Linked DNA regions of Arabidopsis thaliana. The protein of the gene in region 2 interacts with the protein of the main gene of each other region in a biochemical or structural test. Each region holds a gene or a part of one and is shown on either strand. Other genes may lie near its edges.

What was found.
Region 1: the proteins of NAC6 (region 2) and GLK2 form a complex in vitro, tested with the Arabidopsis thaliana proteins (one study listed by BioGRID).

What each region holds. Positions count from the first base shown.
Region 1 is NC_003076.8:17,794,669-17,803,262, forward strand, and holds GLK2 (GOLDEN2-like 2), read left to right. Parts: upstream 1-3,612; 5' UTR 3,613-3,766; coding exon 3,767-4,213; intron 4,214-4,594; coding exon 4,595-4,735; intron 4,736-4,934; coding exon 4,935-5,270; intron 5,271-5,623; coding exon 5,624-5,713; coding exon of another isoform or gene 5,714-5,758; exon of another isoform or gene 5,759-5,832; coding exon 5,833-5,979; 3' UTR 5,980-6,258; downstream 6,259-8,594. Other genes in the region: CBP20 (CAP-binding protein 20), read right to left, coding at 7,394-7,468, 7,574-7,680, 7,769-7,834, 8,170-8,280, 8,415-8,448, 8,537-8,594.
Region 2 is NC_003076.8:15,856,676-15,864,302, forward strand, and holds NAC6 (NAC domain containing protein 6), read right to left. Parts: upstream 3,237-7,627; 5' UTR 2,976-3,236; coding exon 2,777-2,975; intron 2,667-2,776; coding exon 2,389-2,666; intron 2,297-2,388; coding exon 1,916-2,296; 3' UTR 1,723-1,915; downstream 1-1,722. Other genes in the region: RABG1 (RAB GTPase homolog G1), read right to left, coding at 7,491-7,557. UniProt on the Arabidopsis thaliana protein: Transcription activator that binds to DNA in promoters of target genes on a specific bipartite motif 5'-[ACG][CA]GT[AG](5-6n)[CT]AC[AG]-3'. Promotes lateral root development.

The DNA.
Region 1 (8,594 bases), 1.9 Mb from region 2:
GCGTTGCAGTAATAATATTTGTGAAATAGATTACGTAAAGAAGTGGATATAAAATTATCAGTAGTAATAAAAATTTAGTGAGGTTTGTCTTAAGCAATTCTAACAAACAATATAAACAGAATTCAGTAAATTAAGAAAGCACGATAACATCTTTTGGTTTGTTGGCTATAATAATTGGTGTAGCTAAACCTAATTACCAAGTCATCACTAAAATGAGAACTAATTTGGTTAAAGTGAGTAAGTTAAGATATTTTTCTCAACTTTCTCCTATATATGTGGACTTGTTTAACAAGAGAATTTTGATTTATTAATTGGATCGACAAGGCCAATCTATAAACAAAAACCCAAAATACGGACTAATGCAACTATCTATATGGAATCGAATTTCGGTGGATATTAAACCACTTGACTAAAAAATTTCTCTATTCGACATATATATTTGTTCATCGAGTTATTAGTTTTACAATCACACAGTAACAATAAAGAGATCCATTATTGGTTGCTTGTATACCAAACTCATAGTATACCAAACTCGTCTAAAAGATTTGGGAAAGCTACCGCTCATAAGAAACTATGGTAAGTTGGTATTGAACACAACTTATCTCACATTTCTTACAATCTATCCTTTTTAAAAGGATATTACTCAGCATAATTCGTCTCATATTTCTAATAATTCATTTTTCTTAAAAGGATATTGACATAACTCACATTAATGTTTCATTTACTTTTTACGGCTTACTGCCCTGCAAGCCCAAGCTTCCTTGTGGCCCCTCAAGCCCAAGCTAGTTTGGGCTCATGGCCAAATTTATATTTTATTAATAATGGAAGTCATGAATAATAATCTGTATTAGCGATTCCTGAAGAATTAAGATATGTCAGCTCTCTGTTTTCAAATTAGTTAAACAAACAAATTTTAATATGAGGTGAATAATCTTCTCATGTCTCTCGTTTTCCAGGGAAAGTCGTATAGGATCCATGCATCTTCCTACAACAAAATATTAAACCCCAAGCCTAATCACATTCAAACGTTTAAGGCCAAAACATCTATTACCCGAAGTAATATTTATCTAAACGATGGAAAATACATTTTTTCACTCAAAAGAGATGGGTTTGTTATTAATATATGCCTTTAAGCACTTTACATACCAAAAATATTCAATTGAAATAATCTCATTTATCCGGTTTTGTAATCTTATTATTATAATTTATGATTTTTGTACCACCAAATATTGTGGCATACCTATATATGATCTCATTCCTCTTTATTTTGAAGTGCCTAGAACACTAGTCTTCTTCTTTTCATGGTTACGAAAATGTTTACAGAAAATCATGGATGATTCAAGAAAATAGACCACTTTTTGAGATACTTTTCCGTAAACCCTAAGTATATCCATAATATCTCTACATTGACCAATGACAAATAGTAGTTTAGATATTGATGGACTTATGGGAGCTAGTTTTTATTATTAACTAGATTTTAACCCGCGGTATACCGCGGGACGATTTATTTTTAAAAGTAATATATATTAAAACTTGCAAATTTTATTTTTACAAAATATTTATATTTTACAGTTTATAATTGTTATTAAGTAACGCTATACCACGAATTCATGAGACAATTGTTAAAAAAACTGAAGTTTTGACCCCTATTAAAACAGCATATTAATAATATTTTAAAATTTTATAAATATTGATTCAAATACATCCACCATATAACCCAATTCCAAAATAAAACACGTTCTGTAATTTCTTTACCCGTCCCATGATTATTTTTTTAAGTAGTAATTTTTAAAATTTTAGAATTATTTTTATATATAAAAGTTTTGCAAATTGTATCATTCTCTAATACATTTATATTTTATAGTTTAAATTAAATTAATTAAAATTTAGATATCAAATCTTATAAGTTGATTTTGATTGGCTATTATTTTTAAAAATTAATAATGTATTTCGTTTTTAATTAATTAAATTAATTAAATTAGTATTTGACTTTTTAATCCTTAAAGAGATAAATTAATTTACTCTTTAAAATTTTATTTCTAATGGCATACCTATGTAATTACTTACAAAAATTAAGGTTACATTTAAAATGTACTTCCCAAATAATATAGTAGGATAAATTGTTTTATCTATGATTTATGAATATCCACATCAGTTCTGTAAAAAATAAAACTAAAAGAAAAACCAAGGAGAAAACAAATCGCCTTGTAAAAAACCGTTTTTGATAAATGTAACATTTAGGTTTTGTGTTAGTTAAGATCCGAAACAAGACAAATCTTATACACGCCATAATCCAGTATGTCGAAATCTACACCGTATTAATTATTGCTACTATGAACAACCATTCTATCCGATCATAGACTTTACTCTTATTTGTCGTTATTATCATAAAATGTCGTTTAAATAAATTATTTGTAGGATACCAATTCTTTAATTATATTAGTTCAAACACGTATAATTTTGGTGGTTTTTGAGGATGAATATCATCAAAGATAAATGCATTTTGGTGAAATAAATAATCAAATAATTATTTTAAATTATCTTTATGCACCACTATTTTTAATAAATTGGACTCTTACAACGTTTTCCTTAAAAAAAATCATGGATCTTAAAACTTATACCCAAACAAATATGTAGAAAATTATTATTATATATATAAATATATATATATATATATAAGCTATACAAAATCTTATTATATAGTAGTAGCGCTTGATTCTAAAATAGCATAATTAGACGAAAAAGCATGCATTTTGTAACATTTTATACTTTGTAAGTAAAACACATAAAAAATAATTTTATGAATAAGAAATCCACATAAAAAAAAAAAGAAGTAACATACTGTGAAAAATTAGGAAACTTTTTGAGGCACCAATTTTTTATGCCACTTTCAAAAAAGCATTAATGAAAATTTGTTTAAAATATCATTTTAAAATTTGACGTACAAAAGTACAAAACCTCATACAATTTCAAAACTTTACAAAGACTCAATAACATGTGTTATAGAGACTTTATAAACTTTCTTATAACATACTCTATAATTTTTTATATCCATATATTTGTGATATTTTTGAAAATGGATAAAATAAATTTGATATTTTTATAAATAGAAAATATTAATGGTATTTTTGAATTTTTCCCAAAATAATTATTAGTCTTATACTCCAAAATGTAAAAAAAAATCACTTTTTATTAAAAAAATACTTACGCATTTGCTTAATTGCTAGTCGTCAAAGTTTTGTCATTTTATGCAAATACTAAAAAAATGTAGAAAGCATTTCCTCTTTATTTTTGGGACAACCAAGAAAGGAGCATTTCAATAGTGTATACATAGACAAAAATATTTCTCATTTCCTATATTTGACTCTTTAAATCTTTAATAGCTCTTGTAATTTTTTCCATTCATTGTAATACAGCCATAATGTTTAAAAGGAAACTGTCAATTATAAACTTATACTAGAATATAAAATATGGTATTGAATTGAATATTTTCAAAAATAAAATATTAAATTTACGAAAAGAATAAAAAAACTTAAAAATCTCTCTCTCCTATCTCTCAACCACAACTTATTTTTCATGTCAGTATCCACCAACACATATATACGGCATATAAAAGATTTTAATAAAACCTTGGAACTATCTATATCTATTCAGACACACACGTCTATATATATATATACACTCATATACTACTTTCACTGTATCATTCTTGTTTTCTCTAAATTTTTCAAAAAACCTTTAGAATTTTCATTTTTTTACGATTCCGATGTTAACTGTTTCTCCGGCTCCAGTACTCATCGGAAACAACTCAAAGGATACTTACATGGCGGCAGATTTCGCAGATTTTACGACGGAAGACTTGCCGGACTTTACGACGGTCGGGGATTTTTCCGATGATCTTCTTGATGGAATCGATTACTACGACGATCTTTTCATTGGTTTCGATGGAGACGATGTTTTGCCGGATTTGGAGATAGATTCGGAGATTCTTGGGGAATATTCCGGTAGCGGAAGAGATGAGGAACAAGAAATGGAGGGTAACACTTCGACGGCATCGGAGACATCGGAGAGAGACGTTGGTGTGTGTAAGCAAGAGGGTGGTGGTGGTGGTGACGGTGGTTTTAGGGACAAAACGGTGCGTCGAGGCAAACGTAAAGGGAAGAAAAGTAAAGATTGTTTATCCGATGAGAACGATATTAAGAAAAAACCTAAGGTGTGTTTATTTCCCAATTATCCATGTTAGATTAGTTTATTTTTTTTCTTCTTTAAAGGTAAAAAATCCCATTAAGAAATCACCAACCTTTTTAAGGATTTCATTAAAAAAACATAAACTTCTAGTGTTTCTGAATATTTTTTTTACAAAGTTAGTGAATTAGTGTATTTATCATATACACAATTATTATTAAGTTTGATAACTGGAGTAGATCTAGGACCAAAACCAAGTTTTGTGTAGTAGGACTATACAAATTTGTGTGTTTATTTGGACTAAATATTTTTTTTTATAAAACTGTAAGACAATTTTCTATAAAAAAAATGAATTCCTTTTTTTTCTTTTCATTTATTGATTAATTAATATATTGTTCCGGCAAATCAGGTGGATTGGACGCCGGAGTTACACCGGAAATTTGTACAAGCGGTGGAGCAATTAGGGGTAGACAAGGCGGTGCCGTCTCGAATCTTGGAAATTATGAACGTTAAATCTCTCACTCGTCACAACGTTGCTAGCCATCTTCAGGTAAATTTTAGACTAAAACTATACAAACTAATTTTAACAGGAATTAATCAAGTGCTATAACCCCTAACATAGTAATTACCTAATTTATAGATTACATGTTTTTCCTTCAAAATTTTTTATGAAAAGACAAGTAAAATACTAACCAACTCAGATTTGTGTAATAAGATTAATTTGTGTTGTGTTCTTCTTGTAATGATAGAAATATAGGTCACATCGGAAACATCTACTAGCGCGTGAAGCAGAAGCTGCCAGCTGGAATCTCCGGAGACATGCCACGGTGGCAGTGCCCGGAGTAGGAGGAGGAGGGAAGAAGCCGTGGACAGCTCCTGCCTTAGGCTATCCTCCACACGTGGCACCAATGCATCATGGTCACTTCAGGCCTTTGCACGTATGGGGTCATCCTACGTGGCCAAAACACAAGCCTAATACTCCGGCGTCTGCTCATCGGACGTATCCAATGCCGGCCATTGCGGCGGCTCCGGCATCTTGGCCAGGTCATCCACCGTACTGGCATCAGCAACCACTCTATCCACAGGTAATAATAATTCATTTGTAAAAATGTTACATGTTTTTCCATTATTAGTTGTATGGTTAAATCATGAAAAATAATCGAAATGACATAACTAAATCAGCTTTGTTGAACAATCATGACACTGCAAAAAGCTAGTCTTTGTACACTATTGGCTTTTTAACACATGCAACATATATAAGTATAAAACGGAATCATTGAATTAGATTGTGGTTTTGTCTAACAACGCAATTAGTAAAAGATTGCAAGATCATGAATCATTTTTATGTAGACAACTAATAAAGATTTAGAGCTATGAATTATGTATGGATTTTACAAAAACATATTTCTAATCATGGTTTATGTGTATATATGTGTAGGGATATGGTATGGCATCATCGAATCATTCAAGCATCGGTGTTCCCACAAGACAATTAGGACCCACTAATCCTCCCATCGACATTCATCCCGTGAGTGCACCTTTTTTGGTTTCAATTTTGTTTATTAGATTTTGATTATGACATAACCCAAAAAAGTTTTCGAATAAATTTTGGATAATTAACAATATTTCATTACTTGACGGTTGCAGTCGAATGAGAGCATAGATGCAGCTATTGGGGACGTTATATCAAAGCCGTGGCTGCCGCTTCCTTTGGGACTGAAACCGCCGTCGGTTGACGGTGTTATGACGGAGTTACAACGTCAAGGAGTTTCTAATGTTCCTCCTCTTCCTTGAGAAAGATCTCCAAAATTTGTCGAAATCTCAAACTTTTAACTTCATTTTTTTGGTATCTTCTATGTATTTTTGCAAGGGAAAGACGATAAATCCTTGTTGCTTGATCATATGTATTTCTCTATATGAGTGCATGTATCGAAGTTAAGCAACTTTAATATATCGTTATAATCTTCGATAGCAGAATCTGTAATTTTTATTAACTTTCAACTCCCGAAGCATCATTGCAAAATGACTAAATGCAACACTTTTTGGGGTTAAAAATGCTTAACATTTTAAAACATTACTATCATTTATTCAATCAACAATTTATAGTTTTATACAATTGAAAACTAGACGGGATATATATCGCATGTGTTTTTTCAATGGCTTATTTTGTTTTATAATGCCAACTTTCACAGCTATGGATTGTGACTATTTATAATTTCAAAGAAGTCAAATATTTTTAAAACTCAATTAAAGTCCATAAAAAAATTTGCAATTGATAATGTTAACATATCGTGGCAAAAAAAAAAAAAAAGTACAACACATAATTGGAGTTTAGATATACGAATATTCTTTTAATTGGTTCCATGTAAAAAACTTAATTCAAACGGATTCGATTGGTGACACAAAATGGTAAAAACAAAAAAGCGGAAAAAGTTTTAAAAATACTAGAATAGTTGAAAGAAGTAAAAAAAATACAGGTACAAAAAATACAATAGTACAAAAAAATACTAGAATAGTTGTAGATATACTTTTGTGTTTAGTAAACTATTAAAGCATTAAATATTGTACCATGCGATAGAGATTACCAATCAAAAGCCAAAGTGATGATGCAGAATAAGTTAATAACAATTACTTTGGGGTAAGAAGTTTAAATTACTCTTGAATGTAGAAGGCATGAAAGTGGCATGTTTGATGGATTGTGTTTGTCGAGCATTGTGCAGACGCAGCTCAATAACGTTAATTTATATACATTCAACTCTTGAAAGACATTGAAGCTGTATCTTTGGCTTTGACACACTAGCAGCTCTCGATGGAGTTATGCGTGATCTAGTTAGTTACTATATCTCATTCTCCATCAGATAAATGTAAGTTCGTATAATACTTTTTCGGAAGCTTCTAATGCATAAAGGAGCTGTATTTGGACAAATACTTTGAGAAATGTAAGAAGCGTACAATGTGATGAGAAAGAATGATACAAAGTGATTAGTGAGTACTATGGAGGGCCTTCACTCGGCTACTTTAGCCCAATAGACTAGTAATGACATATCAGTTGATCAAGGAGCAAAAGTTAATGAGGACACTGATATTGAACGAAACCACTTAAGAAAGGTTGTAATGAAAATCTAGAAAACCCAAACTGAGTTCAGACTCATCAATCTAAAGATTACATTGACCATTCAGCAACATTGACAACTTCTAAAGTTTTGTTTTAAGATCTTCTCTTCCGATCATCTTCACCATCGTCATCGGAGTCACCGCTCTCACGGAATCGTGGGTTCTTCTCCTGTTACAATCACACAAAATTCCATAGCAGACAGTGTTTTAGCATCAGATACTAAATATACTCGAAACGTTTAGTAAGGAAAAAGAAAAAGGCCTTGTTATTTACCGGTCTCATGTCACTATCAGTGTCTCTCCTAGACTCATGATCTGTGTTTCTTCTTGAGTTATCGCGGCCATAGCGATCATCGTCTCTTTGTCGTTTCCGATGGTAGTCTGCAAAAACATTAAAAACAGTGAATTGTGCTATTGTGGCTGAGGATTACACTATTACTACGCATTATGTCATTTGGGATAAAAATACCTCCTCTTCCATGGCGATTTTGTCCTCCTTGACCATAGTTTCCACCACCACGCCTTCCATTTCCATCTGTGATTAACATATGCAAAAAGCATTTAGGAATCTAGTGTTTTGCAGGCTCTATTTACGGATTCTCACATAATTTGACTTGAATAAGATACTTAACACTAGGACCATATCTTGTTTCACATTTTCACTATCTATTCGAAAGGGAACTGGGAAAACAATAAGCAGATGCTTTGCAAGATAAAGAGTCTTATTCTGAGCACTACAATTCTAAGTAAAGCAACTTAAGACTCGCATTCATGGTACTTTTAGTTCACCATTTGTCCACAGTATAGTGCGAAATCATGAAACCAGGAATAAGATCAAGTAAATTTGGTAGAAAGTTGAAAAAAACATACAATTCGTTGGCGCAGCTTGAGGATAAGCTCCCAATGAGCCAGTACCGTAATCCACGAGCTGCCTTTGTGCTTCGAGTTCCTTCTGAACTAATTTCCCATAACCACCTCTAGGTAATCAATGAGTTAAGGAAAAAACACATGGATTGGCGGGAAATTCATAACCGAGAAATCAATCTTTCCTACCACAAAACAGGTATACTAAACAAGAACAACAGAGTGCATAACTATGCGGACTAAAAGGATATCAGGATCGTAATCTGTACGGTATTCATCACGAACCTGTATGAAATTAGAAAACCATGATGACCTTTTAATTGTAAAGAAACGGTCAGGGAATTACAGAGAGGATGATGCATCTGATGAATACCTGGCCACCGCTTCTACCACGGCCCCATTGTCTTCCTTCTTGGAATCCCCAATCAAAA
Region 2 (7,627 bases):
ACTCACAAGAAACGCATAACTTTATACATATTGAGAACTACGAATGGCTTGATCCCTTCACAGGGTACGTAGGCAATCCATTATGGATGCAGCTATACCTTTTTAAAACCCTAATTCTTTTTCTGTTCTTGAGCAAACCCTAATGTATTTCAGAAGAGATTAGAACCTCTTTTATTATCGAGTCTTGGATAGAATACCTAATGAAGAAAAATTATTAGATTTGTTTTCCCTCTCTAAACAAATCTATTGTGTGAATCCTTGGTTCAACAATAATTTAAATTTAGAAGAAAAAAACAAATAAAAATTGACAATCAATATCAAAGACAAGAAAATTCACTCATACAAGTGATATACATAAATTCAAATTCATTACTAGTGACTTCAATAGTTCAATTATTGGATTTAGGCCGCCTATATGACTATTGAAATGAAAATCTGTAATTTTTAGAATTTGAAAACTTAAACAAATTTTTAGTTTTTTTTTAGAAACGTTTATAGAGGATACTAGAATAAGATAGTTTAAAAACACAATATTTTTTGGTAGAAAAATATTGAAGGATATGTTCAGATTAAAAATGATGTACCAAGTTGTATCAAATGTATAAACATTTTTATTAATTTTTATATGATAGCTAATTTCTGATTATTATTTTCTTTACTAGCTATCTTTTTTATATATTAAAAATATATATATATATATATATATATATATATCGGTTTAATAATACTAAATCTGACTGGTATGTCAATTAAACTGAATAATAGCGAAAGAAAAAAATAATTGATAGCAGAATGAACTAAAATGAATAAAGTTTTTGAAAAATAGTCACATAATGTAAAATAAATAGTACAGCAGATTAATGATGTTGTATTTTTGATTTTTAATAATTTTAAGACGCCTGTATATATAGTAGAATTACTTTTTAAAAATATGAAAACGTAAAATGTTATACTATCGATCATGTTTATTGTTTGTTTAGTAAATAACAAACTTGAAGAGAAACATGAACTAAGACTATGATCATCTCAAAGTATTTATAAGCCATATGCAATTTTATTTTTAAACATATGTTATCAATGGCCAGAGGAACGCAAGAAGATTTGGAGACGTAATAATATTATCCGATGAGGAAGTTGGTATAAAGTTGCGTATTGTGCATGTAATTGAGTTACTGGCGGCGTTGCAAAATTAATTCACACATGTTATTTACTTATTTATATATATCACACATGTTCATGTTTCATTTTGATGTAGTTGTAAGCTCTCTCTTTCTTTTTTTTTTTCCAAAAACATGTTATCGATCTTAGGGTTACGTTGGGAACATTATCATTTTGCTAAACGAAAATGTCCAAATTAGAAATTGGGAAAACATTTAGGTAGTATGAAAACAAGATGATCACCTAAACATGTTAAGTTTGACATAACAATATAATAATGATAAATATCTATGAAACTTTGTTAAATACTCATAAGTCATAATATCAACTCTTTGGTTGGTGGCCTAACATATGTCATGTAAAATTTCGTCATTGAGAAGAACAGTAAACAAATTTGGCTTCTAACTACTCTAGTTTCAAATTTATAAAAACAAAAACTTCACACCAATATAAAATAATTATGTATGTGTTTTAAAATTTTCATATTATATTTTCTTACCTTCTTTGTGTGTTTTAAAAATAAAATTTTATTTAAATGTGTTAACTTGACTTTAGCATTGTACATGGCAAATAAATTAAGATTTTTATTTAATTAGGAAGTCTATTGAGTACATAAAAAACACTAATGCTACATAACAAAAGCAATTGACTTTCTAGCATATTTTTTTCTCCTTTTTTACAAAAAAATGTAACAAGAATATTCATTCACACACACGAACACATGACTACTACAAGTCTACAACATAACTTATACAACTCAGAAATTCCAAACGCAATCCAATTCTTCTGTACCGGACGAATCACGACCGTCGAAAGGTTTGCCGGAGAATTGAGTTTCTTGACCGTCAAGCAACAGCTTCATTAGCGAATAATTGTCTTGTAAAAACAGAGGATCCGAGTAAAACAGAGAACCAAAACCGTCTTTGGACTCGTGGACAAGTCTTTTGTCTTCGGTTTCTTGGTCGGAGAAGCAGGTCACGTGAGACGACGAACCGGTGAAGGAGTCTCGTTGAGAACAATCCATTAACGAAGGTAAACCGGCTGGTTCCATTCGGTTAATGTGTGGATCAAGCATTGACATTGGAACCTTTGTACCATCGGCACGTTTTTGGAAAACACGACATATAACCCATTCGTTCTACATTCACAAACAACCAAACAAAAGAATTAATTTCAAGTCCCCAAAAAAAACAAAAGACAGAAACACACAAAATCTCTTAATGTTATTACCTTAGCTGTTTGGGGAAGATTTTCAATACAATATTTGCCTTCTAAACGATATTCATGCATAACCCAATTGGTTTTAACTCCTTTAGGAGCTCTTCCTTTATAGAAAACCAAAGTTTTCTTCATACCCACAAGTGATTTTCCCTTGAATATCTCTTTGTCTTTTCCTGTGGCTTTCCAATAACCGGCTTCTGTCGCCCGGTTTGTCCTTAAACCGGTCGGGTATTTCCGGTCTCTCACACAGAAGAAATACCATTCTTTTTCTCCCATCTTAGCCTTCCCTGTTCCAACAAAACCAGCCATGTATCAGAATTCAGAACCATGAGTTTAATGGTAGAAAGAAGACAAACAAAAGACTTGAGGAAATAGAAAGATAAGGTGTGAAACTTACATGGTAAGTCCCAAGGCTCAATCTTGTTGAGATCAACTTCACCAATGGCAGTAGCAGAGAAGAAAGTGTTGAAAACCTTTGGTTTGAGGTAGTGAGTTATGAGTTCTTCATCAGTAGGGTGAAATCTGAATCCTGGTGGTAGATCTATATGTTCTTCATCTTCTACCATTTCGACGATTCTTGATGCCTCGTAATCCATTTTATCCTAATAGGGTTTCTAAAAATGATCTTCTTGTAAGATTTTTGTTGTTGTTGTGTTTGTTGTTGTTTGGAGACGAAGAGGGAAGGGTTTTTGAGAAGAGAGAAGAAAGTTGAGGTTTTTAAGAGAGAGGAAAGTGTTTGAGCAACGAAGCTCCTCTCTATATACTAGTTTTCATTTGAGAAATAAGAACACTAAAATAATTTATTCTTTTTAATATATTGACCAATAATTGGTCAATTTTTTCGTATCAAGTTCTTCTTTAGAACAATTATTTGTATTGAAATTCAAGAGTTTTACCTACTATAAAGAAAAAGAAAATCTGTTATCTTACTTCTAATAAATATATTATTATGTATATACATGAGGTTTCGCGTTTAAATCTAATACAACTATCAAATCATATTTTAAATCAGAAAATGCTATTTTTAGTTTTCTTAATAGGATAGAGAAAAGAAGAAGATGCGTAGATTGTTAGGCAACTTAAGATGTGTGATTCTCAAATATCGTTTTCAATTAAAAATAAACCTTTCTATTTCAAGAACTTTATTATTTCCAAGTTTCAATTTGACCAGGAACACTTCACCTGTAACTCCCTGTCCCTTTTTTTGTTTATGTGATAAGATTGTTCTTATCACATTAAATCGTGATGTTTTTGTCCATTCTTTATCTCATTATCAACGGTTAGATTTTACCTGTTTAGTAAACTGTGATTATTGATTTGATAACAATTCATAATTGAAACTATGTGATTATTCATTTATAGTAGTTTCGAGTTATAAATTTGGTACTAATACGTAAGGTTACTAATATAATGGGATTGTAAATATAATAATTCAGTGTGAATGGTTTGAAGAGAATGACTTTTTACTGGTCTTTCTTTTTAACAAAAAGAATGACTTTTTTTACATTTACTATTCTTACGGTACGGGTCACTATTATTGGTGTTGTTATTTAGGATAAGTATTAGAAAGAAAAAAGTTCACATGGTTACATATAATTTGTTTTATTTGTTTAACAAATGTTATCCATCTCGTGAAAACAATGTATGCATGCATGAACCTTGTAAAGTATATTTTTATATTATTAAAGCAACTGGTCCTCTTGTCTTATTCCAGTGTCTACCGTTATAAGAAATTATAATATTAATATCTTTTTTTTTTTTCGTTTATAATACTAATATCTAAAACTATATATTAAAAATTCAATGAAAGTTTGGATAGAAAATCGATTTCCATGTGAAGGTGGTAATGATGATGAATGATGAGGATGTTGATGATGAAATTCAGTTAGACTTTGAAGACATTTTGAACAACTTTACTTACCTTCGCCATATTATATGTCAAGTATTTTCTTTTCATGATCGAATCACGTGTTTTGTTCATACGAGGTTGTCATTTGCATTGCTACAACATGTGCACTCTATTTTTTCTTAGCGTCATTTCGTTTGATTTATAAAAATATATAAAAAATCGTATGTATATGGCTGGAATGAAATTTGGATCGTTATTGAAAGGTGAAGTAATAATTACGTTTTTCATACTCTTTTTTTCAAATTAAAAAAAAAAATCTGATTTTCTAGACTTAAAACGAGCAAGATATATAAGTTTGACAAGTTGCAAAAGAGAAATAAAATTTATAGCACCAAAGAGAATGTAAGACTCTAGAAGGTTAGATGCATACATTCAAAAGTAGTCACTTATCAGTTATCACTATTTATTTATTGATCATGACATATATGATATAGCATGACATATTTAACAATTCTTGGAAGATTTTCAAGATCCATTTCAAGAAAACCTTAATAAAACCATTTCAAGACATAGCGTGTGGCACCATCGATTTTATTTTTGGGTTAAATTTTTATCAATTACTCGGGTCGTCGGATTTACTTTCTTTCGAATTGTAATCGGGGTTTTTATTATTCTTGTAATAAATTTACAAGGTAAAATGACATGCAAAAATTTTGATGGTAACCGTTAATAGAGATACAATAATGGAGCACAATGACTCTAGAAGGTTAGATGCATACATTCAAAAGAATGACAATATGTAACCATAGAACTAATCATTTTTCATGTTATCATGTAACTGGAAATATTTTTAAAATCTTTATAGAAGATGTTGTATACATGAGTAACTATGTGTATTATCCATATAAATAAGTCGCGAATCAGGCATTAGGCAATATGATTTGTTGAAATTGCAAGCAATCACACAATCAATGGAAGCTCAGGTTCTGTCTGTTACATATAATTTATGGTTTCATCTCTTGTTGTTCGAATGATTTTGCCTTACTTCTATACCCATATTGTTTTCATGGTAGTGTGGTGGATTTTAAGGATGAGTTGCTTCGTGTACACAATCGATCTCATGGCACTTTAGTAATGACTTCGGTCAAGTACAAATAAAATGTAAAGAAACATTGGCATGATGTTCAATTTAGTGTCCGTAATAGGTTAGGGTGTATTGTCTTACCCAAAGACCGTTTTCTGGCTCAAGAGTACAATAAGATTAAGGCCTAGCTAGAAAATTGGTATGCTAGAGGTCGTTGAGAAATTAAATTTCAATGCATACCGTTTGAAGCTTCTCCACATATTCACACCACGAATGTCTTCAATATCAAGCACTTATACGCTTATGAATTGGACGAAGAGGTTCTCGATCTTCCTCATGCTAGGATGGGGCGGCTCATGAAGCATATATACTACTCTATTCTTTTTGATGTTGAGTTTTGTTTTACTTTTGACTTTTTCATCGCTTTAGTTATCTTTTTCACAAGTAGAATCCTACTTCGGTTTTGTTTCTGATATTTGGTCGTTTCTCTTAGGAAAAAGACTAGCTCAATTTTAACTTAAAAAGCACTTAGTCGTCGTTCGTTTTGTGTTTTTATTCACAAGCAGATTCTTGTAAATAGGTGTCATTCGTTTTTGTGTTTTTGTGTTTTTGTCACCTTTTTATAGTAGAGAAAATCTAAAAAGAGATTTTGAAGAAAATATATCTCTTATTTTTCCGCACAATTTTTTTTAGAATTCAACGGACCTGAGAATAATTGGATAACCTGTATTACAAATTTACAATAATTTACCAATGTGTTATCAGTACTTTTGTGATATTTTTTTTTTTTTGATAAAATTTCAATGCCTAAATGTTTTGAAACTATATAGATATGAAATATATATCACAAGACAAGACAAGTAGATATGAAGTATATATACAAAAGAGAGAATTCTTTATAAACGGGAAAGAATATAACGTTTGGTGATAGATTATAGTCATATAACACAATCATAATTTCATTGAAAATGTGTATTAGTGTATTAAACTATTAATCATGTGACTTTTAGACTGAGTTCCCTTCTTAAAGCAATCAATAGTTGGACTCTCATTGGGATATTTTGTAATATTGGCTATTAATGAAATCAAATCAATCATTCTAAAGCTAATCCTTTCTTTTTTGTTTTAGCAGTCCTTTCCTTTTCAGGAAATATTAAAACAAATTCCATAAAAATATCTTAGTTTTGGTGAGCCCGAAACACACGTGTCGATTTTTCTTTGAAACGGCAAGAGTTTTAATCGTATTGGCAATGCCAACCTTCTCATGGACACGTCACACGTACTAGCAATTCCAAAATGCGCACGTGGTGGTATATCAGTGGGGAAGAGAAAATGGTAAGCATCTTCTAAAACTATTCTTAATTATCATAATTAAAGTATTTGAAAATAACTAATTTAGTTAATTACTTTAGTTTAAGTTGGGATTTGAAGTTTGACTAATGCTTCCTTGGGCGAAACATGGGCTTGTGAGAGGGAACAAGACATGAGTCGATAGTTCATTGGTTTGTAGAAAATGGATAATATAAATGTTGTATTGTTAAAGTTAGGCGATCCAATGTCAAAAAAAAGTTAGGCAATCGAATTTGTAGATATACTAATTAAATTAATCACTTGCTAATAGGATCATGGTCAACACTTTGCCGTAAAGCTTGATTTGTTGTAATTTTATAATTGTGCTGTTAGCTTAGTTTGATAAATCGAATCTTCCATACTAAAATTCTAAGTAACGGGATTGAGGAAATCTCACAGCTCTCTAACCCTTTTCTGAAACTAAATTGAAAAACTAGATATATATGGTTTTTACGAGTGTCTCATGATCACGTTAACTTAGAGTACGGTGCAATGAAGACGCAGTTTCAACTAATTCAAGTACTATATCGACTTTAGACATATTGAGAGAAAGAGTTGAAGACAAAAAGCGTTTTCTAGAGATTTATGTGTTTTGGTATTTTCGGGGAAAATATCGGTATTGAACTGAAGTTTTTTCCTTGAACTAAATAAATCGATATATATATAGTAGATGCATTAATGCATAACGTATTGCTTAACCTTGTTTTAATTATGTAAAGAAGTGTTATATGGAACCAAAATCTTACAATCCCTTATGTTGAAATAATATAATAATTTTCTTACAAAAAACATATGATGGTCGATAATTGATGTCAATATATATTTATTTCAGCATGAACAACGGCTTCGCGGCGTTTCCTTCTCTATTGTTGGAACGACGCTTCTATATCTTTCCCTTAAAGAGACAAAAAAATGAAAAAAAAAATGAATAACAGTAGAAAAGTTGAGACGTATGAACCAATGTT